Linked DNA regions of Mus musculus: region 1 is reported to be linked to region 2. Evidence: microRNA targets listed by miRTarBase, many of them from high-throughput screens and not tested one by one. Region 2 holds a microRNA gene; the other region holds the end of a gene's coding sequence.
What was found. Region 2 holds the annotated microRNA mmu-miR-3099-3p (UAGGCUAGAGAGAGGUUGGGGA, at 1,128-1,149, shown strand). A microRNA usually pairs through its seed, bases 2 to 8, with sites in the 3' UTR of a target mRNA and lowers its output. Matches are read on the target gene's strand: a 7mer-m8 pairs with bases 2 to 8, a 7mer-A1 pairs with bases 2 to 7 and ends in A, and an 8mer does both.

Region 1 (4,399 bases), not on the chromosome of region 2:
CACATGGTGACTGGACCAATAGCATCAGTATCTTCTGGGAGCTTGTTAAAACATAAAGTCCCAGCTGTTCTAGGCCTACAAGATGACGGGCCCTCCATGGGAAGTCAGTCATCTGCATTTTACCAAGACTTCCAGAGAAGTCTGATCTGTAAAACATTTAAGAAGTGCCTTTGGTAAAGCAAACACAGACGAGGTGAGAGAGGCAGCAAAATCTCCAAGAATGCCCTCATACACTAATCTCCTTACACAATTCCATACCCTGCTTTAAAAACGCAGCTAAAATGAAATTGTAAAGGGATTCCATGTTAGATTTTAACTGACAGGCCATAAAGCTCATCGGTCACTAGTTGGACAAGGAGCAAAGGCCACTGGCTTTCCCAGGTGATGTGTGCCAGCAATCGTTTATTCCTTATGTCACCCACACACAGGATATACCATCTTTAATTTCAGTCCATTTTTATAGCAAGAATGTTTAAGAAAACCCTGGAGAGCGGTGAAAGAACTTGAATTTCTGATCCCCTCTCCAGTTGTTGCCAGCTTCATGACAACATTCTTGATGGCTAATGGGCTTTACCTAAATTCTATTTATGAAGCTGGTTTCTGTGTCGTGCACTGCTTAATGTTTTAGATTAGGAAATCCAGGCACTTAATTACCTTTGTCAGGTAGGACTTGCATATTAACTATCAATTTATGTCTACGCATCCTTTATTCCCCTTAGCCTTTTTAAAGATAACATGAGGTTGCTTAGCATCTATTGTAATACTTTGAGTACCCAGTAATACTTAAAATTGACACAAATCAGAAGAACCTCCTGATCTTTCCAGACTCGTCCTGTGGAATGTCTCAGCACTTCTGACTTCTAGCCTTGCTTCACAATCTCTCTGTGACGGCCACTGTCAACCGTGTGGATGGCTGTTAAGCTTTTTCTACCCAGGAGTCTGCCCCAAAAGCACACAGATCACTTCACAGAACTTGTAAACCAACTGTCTGCTCATTTTCTCATTTTACAACCATGAAATCAGAGGCCCAGAAGAAAAATGTCACTGAGCAAGTAAAGCAAAAACTGGAACAAACCACCAGTCTTCAGGGTATGCCCTCTTAATCACAAAGCGCCTCAAACCTTTAGCAATAGCAATGATTGAACATGGCTTGACAGTCATGACAAGGACAAGAAAGGAAATAAATACAGAGCACTTCACTTTCAATGGGGAGCAATAACTCCACTAGAGGGTGAACATATCAGGGACCAAAAATATTGGCAAATGTCGGTTTCCTTTCCTGTTGTGATAAAATAGCCTGATAAAGCAACTTGAGAAAGGGTTTTGGCTCACAGTTCAAGGCCATTCATCCTGGTGGGGAAGTCAAAGCAGTAAGAGCCTGAAGCAGCCAGTTACCTTATGCCCACAGTCCAGAAACAGAGAGGTGCATACTTGGTTTCCAGTGTTCAGCTCACTTTCTTCAATTATGTAGTACAGGATATGAATGGTGCAGCCCAAGGTGGCTGAATAGTCCCACCTCAGTTAAAAGTAATCAAGATCGTCCCCCACAGGCACACCAAGTTCCACTTCCCATGTCATTTGAATCCTGTCAACCTGACTAATCACAGTAGTTATATTGAAATGTACTTATATGTATCCCTACCCCCCATCATTACCTTAGAGTTTTTAAAATATGAATTCTACAGTACTGTAATTTTGTTTACGGACTGAGCTCTGAAAGGTTGTGTTTCTGTAGGCAGGGGATGATCGTTGGCCATCTTCTGTCCTGAGTATGATGCAAAGTGAACATCAGCATCTCACAAATGACAGCTAATGAGTTCAGAGAAATACTAAGAGCTAACATGTAACTCAGTTTGCACATACCTTTACTGCCAAAACTGATTCTGAATGACGTCATCTCCACAGATAAAACTTAAGTTTAAAATGTGGGAGGTGATCCAGAATGCATTTCAACTTATATAAAAGCCATCAGAGCAGTGAAGTTTTACTCCCTAGGCAGACTGAAGTAGAATCGAGCCACGAAGCAATCCTGAGTACTCAGTAACCTAGCCACAAAGCAACTCAGTACTCAGCAGGTATCTTTTCTAGAAGTGGTGAAAGGGCATAGGAAAAATTGTTGATCTTAATAATTGAGTTTATACGACAGTTGACTTTCACAATACCCTGTCACTATACACTTTAATTTACTTTCCAGTCCTAATCCAGTTGTGACCTGAGAAGGGCCAAAAGAGATTACATTCTTATGCAGTTTAAAATTATGTGATTAACAGATGAGACCACTGCTGCATTTAGTAAAGATAAATTTTTATCTCAAAAATTAAGTAACTACAAAAATCACTCTAAGAAGTTTCAGAACCTTTTAACTGTCAGCTTTATTTAAAAAATACAAATATTTTCACATGTTAGATTTTTAAAGCATCATACAACAAAGAAATCTACGTCAAATAACTCAAAAACACAAATTCTGTCCACTAAATGTTACAGTATTTAAGATAAATTAAATATTTTTCATATTATCAACATTTAAGAAAAAGCTATTTCTAAGGTGTTGCTATAATTAAAATAAAAACAACCAGTTTTCTTTTCTTTTTCTTTTGTTTTTTTAGAGAGAGGATTTTTCTGGCTGTCATGGAACTCACTCTGTAGACCAGGCTAGTCTCAAACTCAGAGATCTATGGAATGCTGGGGTTAAAGGCTTGTGCTACTACTGCCCAGCAAAACAACCAGTTTTCAACAGCAAACTCAGCACATGCTTAAAACATCAAAATGATGGTGAATTGGTGCAAACATTTCATATCTGAAAAAAAATGCACTTCTTGTGAATTCTAACACTTAGCCAAATATAATCTTATTCGTCAAAGAAACACTTCTGGCACTGTGATTGGAGCCCGGCTCTCAAGGTTTACATTACACGACTGGTGGCAAGCTCCAAGTAGGAAGAGGGAATGGGATGAGATAAGATAATTTGTCATCTTCTAGGGATGGTGTGATCAGCTTTTCATTGATAGTTACATATTGGGACAGAATTGAAAAAACAAGTATTTTGAAATTTTTATGTATCAAGTTGAAATTTCTATCAGGGTCAAATCTGAAATCACATTTAAACATAGACATATCAGTCTTGCAGACTTCATTCGGTATATACTTGTATATTTTGTTCAGACCAAAGGGATTTTAGAAATATTAGTTACTTTTAAAACAAGAACAAGTGCTTCTTATTTATAATGAATATAGTTAAATTATTTGGCAGGTAAAAGCATCACACACTTTCAGGTTTTATATCTCAAATACTCCTGAGGAAACAGTAAGAATAAAAACAACTTTTTATGCTTTTAAAACCTCTTTTTCAGAGATTGTTAAGATGTCTAAAGAAAATAACATGAAATACTGGACTTAGTGGGAAAACTAAGGAACTTATACCAAATAGGGAAAAAAATTAAACTGACCTATCATCTGCAATGGAAAATGTGATTCAAAATTTAAAGGAGCATGGCATCTTTGTTAAATACAAGATCAAATATGATCACTCACTCGAAAAGTACCCTCAATGACATTATGAGTGCATTTAGTTTGGGGAAAATAGTTTTAACAGCTTTCTCAGGAAAAAAGTTTCACTTTTTTCATAACAAACAAAATAACAGTTACGAAGTCCAGCGCCACCAAGCAACCTTCATTCTGTCCCATACTGCAGAGAATGAATCAAAGGCAGGACGCACATCCAGGATAGTGAACTGGTACTCCTTGTTCACCTCACCACCATCATAGTAATCAATCACATATCTAACTTCTGTGCCACAACGATTGATGATCCAGTCATGGCGGTCAAAAGGCAATTCATACCTGTAATGAAAACAGTTTGCTAAAATGCAGGTCTGTATTCTGTCTGTCTTGGTGGTAGCAGAAAGACAGAGTGAAAAACAGCACATACTCATTTGCAAATATCTAGCAGAGGAGATGAGCCTTAGTCAATCAGTCCATGGTGTTTAGAGAATATGGTGATTAAGAACTATGATGAATCCATGTCTATAAAGGAATAGGTTCATGGTAAAGAGGGCCAGGCCAGGCTAGGTAGAAAGCTGGAGAAATCAAATGTACTTAATAGTCCTATTACACTATAAGACAAGGGAGGAGTAAGGCAAGACAAAGAGCACAAGAGGAGTAAAAAGACAGTTCTGAAGACACCAAAAAAAAAGAACAATTCAATCCTTCCAGAGTGAAGCATGAAACCAGCAACCCAACCTTTATAATTCTGCCCATCTATGAGTAAACTCAAGGATATGAAAGAAACATAGGCTGGATACTGGAGATGTGGAAGATGGAATTGCTTTTCCTACACTGTTTTAGGTGATAGGAATGCTAACCATGGCTTAAGGAATATCAACAGCAGTTCTACACTGAC
Region 2 (4,399 bases):
GAAATGCCACAGAGTCCAATATAGCTGCTACCCCAAATTCCTCTAAAGAGAAAACATAGGAACACCCATTTTTGAAACTCACATAGCCTAAACTTTGACTATTTTTAATTTATCATAACCAGAAAACTATATACAATTACAGTGCGCAACATGATGTTCAAATTACATATATTCTTTGTGTGAGTATCTTCTCAGTCAGATTGGCTTACCTATCCATTATGCATCCATCATTTTTTTTTTAAGAACTTTCAGCAATTTTCTGTTGTTGCTGTCTTTTTTTTTTTTTTTTTTTTTGCGATAGGGTTATTTTGTTCTCTGTGTAGCTCTGGCTGTCCTGGAACTCGCTTTGTAGACTACCAGACTGGCTTTGATCTCAGAGAGCTGCCAGCCTCTGTCTCTGAGTGTTGGGATTAAAGGTGTTCACCAATTTTCAAGTATAAACATAACTCATTACTGATTATCACCACCATGGTGTACAGTAGCACCTTAGAACTTACTTTTCCTACAGAATGAAGACTCCATGCCTGTCAGTCAAAACAAAACAAAACAAAACAACAAATAAATGTGTTGTACAACATCACATTTGTCTCAATTAAGTTCATTACCTTGGCTGTATGATTTTTCCCATCAAAGAAACACATATGAACATCTATTCACGCCTTAAAGGGCATTAAAGATTAAAAAAAAATATTTCACCAGTCTATGTTGGTAAAGCAGTGAATTTGGGGTATAACTTATAGGAGCAAGGATGACCTAGGCAGCTGCATCCCTGAAAAGGCCACACAACACAGGCTATTACCCATGAAACCTGTATCCTGGGAGCTCCCTGCATGATTTGCAGGCAGTGCCACTAAAGAGTCTCCTCTCTCACAGCAATCATTTCCTGCCTTACATAAACATAGGACAGGGCCTTGTGGTGCTTCTAACTTCCTGTGCTTTCTGAGTCTTGTAAGTTATATAAGACTCCTGAGCCTTGGAAGTTTCCTTATCTCCCTCAGTCTTAAAATGTTTCGATTCAGTGGCAATCTCCACAGAACTCTTCCTCCTTCCAAGGGAAACCTCAAGCCTGCTGAACGATCGATCCCCATCCCAGCTTCCTTCCAGCCCTTGATGTTTTAGTACGCACATAGGCTAGAGAGAGGTTGGGGATGGGGAAAGATGAGAGCATCGAATGCAGGATTGAGTGACCACGTGGAGGGAGACTACCCAATGACAATAGAGACCCGAGAACTTCACACTTAGTCCTTTCTCATCTGATGAGAATTAGCAGGAAAACACTGATAACTCAGAGAGCATGAGCCCATACATCTAAGTGGAGCCTAGTAGAGCACTCCTGGAAAGCTCACTAAAGTTAGGGGATGGATGAGGACTCCAAAACTGGTTCCTGATTCAAATGAAGCACCACATGTTGCTAAACCATCGTCTGGCTGACAGCGAATATCTCTTATCCTAGTTGTTCACCAAAGCCCCCACCTTCAGTCATTCATTCTTCTCACTCAATTTCTACCTCTGCCTGCAGGAGAATGAACTTGTCTAAATGACACTTTCCTCATGGGGGTAAAGAGATTTTTCTTTTCTTCTTTTTTCTTTTTTTTCTTTTTAGAGAGAGATTTTTTTTTTCCAATCAGTGAGTTGTTGTTGGAGGACTTGAAGTTTTTAATATGACATCAAAAGGGAGTCAGGAAAATATGGGGAGGGTGTAATGACACCCCCTAACCCGTTGTCTCTTGATCCCTCACTTGGCCTCTGCTTTTGTCAGGAACAGACACTTGCTGCACAGGGGCACCTTATCCATCTTCATGAGACCTGACACTGGCATGGGCACAGGAGGAAGCAGTGGCAGAAAGCATCTAAGATTGGGATATTCCAGATTGTATAGGTAAAAATGTGTAGGCAAAAAAGAGAGGAAGAGGAGAAGGAAGATGAGGAAGAGGAGAAAGAGGAGGAAGAGGAAGACAAAGAGGAAGAGGAGGAGGAGGAGGAGGAGGAAGAGGAGGAGGAAGAAGAGGAGGAGGAGAGGAGGAGAAAAAAGATACAAAAATCCCAACCAAAACAACAACCAAAAAAAAGAAAAAAAGAAAAAGAAAAGAAAAGAAATGAAGGAAGGAAGGAAGCAAGCAAGAAAGGAAGAAAGGAAGAAAGAAAGAAGGAAACTACCAAGTAACTGTCACATCTACCTGGCTATGGCAAGAGGGTAGAACTCAGCTGAGTGACAGAGGAGCTCATTCTTCAGCAACTAGCAGAAATCCAAAGAGTAGACACTAGATTCCTGCAGATTGCCATGCCACAAGCTGCCCTCATCCAGCAAACTGAGCCTTATGAACTTTCAAAACAATCACTAAGAGGTCCAGCTGCTTGTGTGGGTGTATACAGGTAGGACATACTGCAGAGGTAGAAGCAGGAGGTATGTGAGTTTGAGGCCAGCTTGGGCTACAACTATAAAGGCTGGAGAGATGACTCCATGGGTAAAGAGCTGGATATGCAAGTGTGAGGACCAGGGTAAGGATCCCCAAACCCCACATGAAAACTGGATGGACATGGTGGCCTACCTGTAATTCCAGACAGGAGAGCCTCGGGGCAAGCTGGTTTTCATGTCCTGTACCCCTGAAGAAAACTGAATTTCCTACCCTCAGCAACTGTCATTGCCAATAGCTCCTCAGTTAGGAGTGGGACTTCAAGATGCTAAGTTTTAGGTTTCGAGTATCTTACCACAACTTTTAAAAACTGAAATACTCCACCTATGAAAGTGTTTCAATATGGAGAGTTTGTCAGCCCCCTCAGATGGGTGGAAGCAGCTTTTGCTGTGCCCCAGGGAAGGAATGAGAATGCCAACTGGGACGGTCTGAACATCTGTCAATGTGCTCAGGGGCCGTTGAGACTTTTCACCCTCAAATGGATGATCTGTGGGACACACGTTGCCTGACGATGATTTTGTGGGATACAGTCACCCCAGATTTACCTTAGTTTTTGAATGATGTCGCAAATAAATGATTTTGCTTTTTGATAATTAAAAAATTTTTATTGTATTAATACATTAATGTGTGTTATGGCATACATGTGGTATACAGAGGACAACACATAGCAACCTTTTTTATTTCTTATGAAATCTGGGCCCTAGGGATCAAACTCAGACTGTCAGTCTTGAAGGCAAGCCCCCTAAATCCACTGAGCCAGGCTAGCAACACGAGCTTTTATAAAAAGGTCCTTAAGTTATCTGGTTATGAAAAAAATAAGCCTGACAAGCACCTAATAATTTTTTAATTGTTAAATGATTGATTTGTTTTATTTTATGGGTATGAGTGCTTCACCTGCTTGTATGTATGCATACTACACAGATCCCTAATGGCTTTGGAGGCCAGGAGTTATAGATAGTTCTTTGCCACCAAATGGGTTTTGAGAACTGAACCTGGGTACTTGGAAAGATCAGACAGTAGACAGTGCCCTGAACTGCTAATACATCTCTCCAGTCCCCAATCTGTGAAATTCTGTGTTGATGAGAAAAACATAAGCAGTCTTTAGGCCTAGGCTTGGATCATTGGATTCGTCACTTTGTTTTTGTAAATATTTCCCCAAGTATCTTAAAGAATTATTTACAAATACTCATTTGAGTCAAACATACTCACAGGACATTCTAATTCGGTAAGTATAATGTCTCTATGAAACTATTCTCTCTCTCTCTCTCTCTCTCTTTCTCTCTCTCTCTCTCTCTCTCTCTCTCTCAGTGTGTGTGTGTTTTGTGTGTGTGTGTGTGTGTGTGTGTGTGTTTCAAGAATAAATAATCTCTTTTGTCTGGCCCAGTAAACTTTTATTTAAATAATGCATCCTCTGGGTATATGCAGATGTCCATGTTCTACAGGTCTTTCTGTTGTTGGAGGGCTCTCAAGATATTTACCCAATTTTAGAACTGGTGGGGTTGAGAACTATTTGCCGAAAAAACAAAACAAAACAAAATACCCAGTGATATGCAAACTTTGGTGTTTGGAAAAATTAGGCTGGGGACATTGAGTAACTCAGCAGTTAAAAATGCTGACAATACTGAAGTTGGGTCCCTAGGACCCACATGGTTTAAGAAGAGAACTGGCTCCCACAAGTTGTCTTCAGATTTTGACTTGCACGAGGTGGCAAGGCACCCAAAGAGAGGTATGCACAAAAGTAAATAAATAGAATGTAATAAAGATTAGTGTGGCTCTCAGAGAAGCCTATTCCTTATCATCGCTCATCACCCTGGTATTGTGTTTTTTGTAAATATTATTAAAAGTCACACTTGTGGAAAAAAACAAACCTAGAGAAGAGCTAGTCTTTGTCCAGAGTTCCAAATGTACTACTGCTAATCTCAGCAGGTCCCAACCAGAGCTCACAGTCCCTATCAAAATCAGCAAGTCCATCCAAATGAGGAAGG

Region 1: miRTarBase lists Hccs as a target of mmu-miR-3099-3p. Seed matches in the 3' UTR shown: 7mer-m8 at 2,650-2,656.

What each region holds. Positions count from the first base shown.
Region 1 is chrX:169,309,183-169,313,581 of GRCm38, forward strand. It overlaps Hccs (holocytochrome c synthetase), which reads right to left. Exons shown (of 7, transcript NM_001331049.1): 7 at 2,348-3,840. The coding sequence ends at 3,642. Among named protein-coding and RNA genes, the nearest start is that of Hccs, 9.0 kb to the right of the region's middle.
Region 2 is chr7:6,802,511-6,806,909 of GRCm38, forward strand. It overlaps Mir3099 (microRNA 3099), which reads left to right and starts at 1,077; the gene lies at 1,077-1,160. All of the region lies in intron 2 of Usp29 (ubiquitin specific peptidase 29), which reads left to right.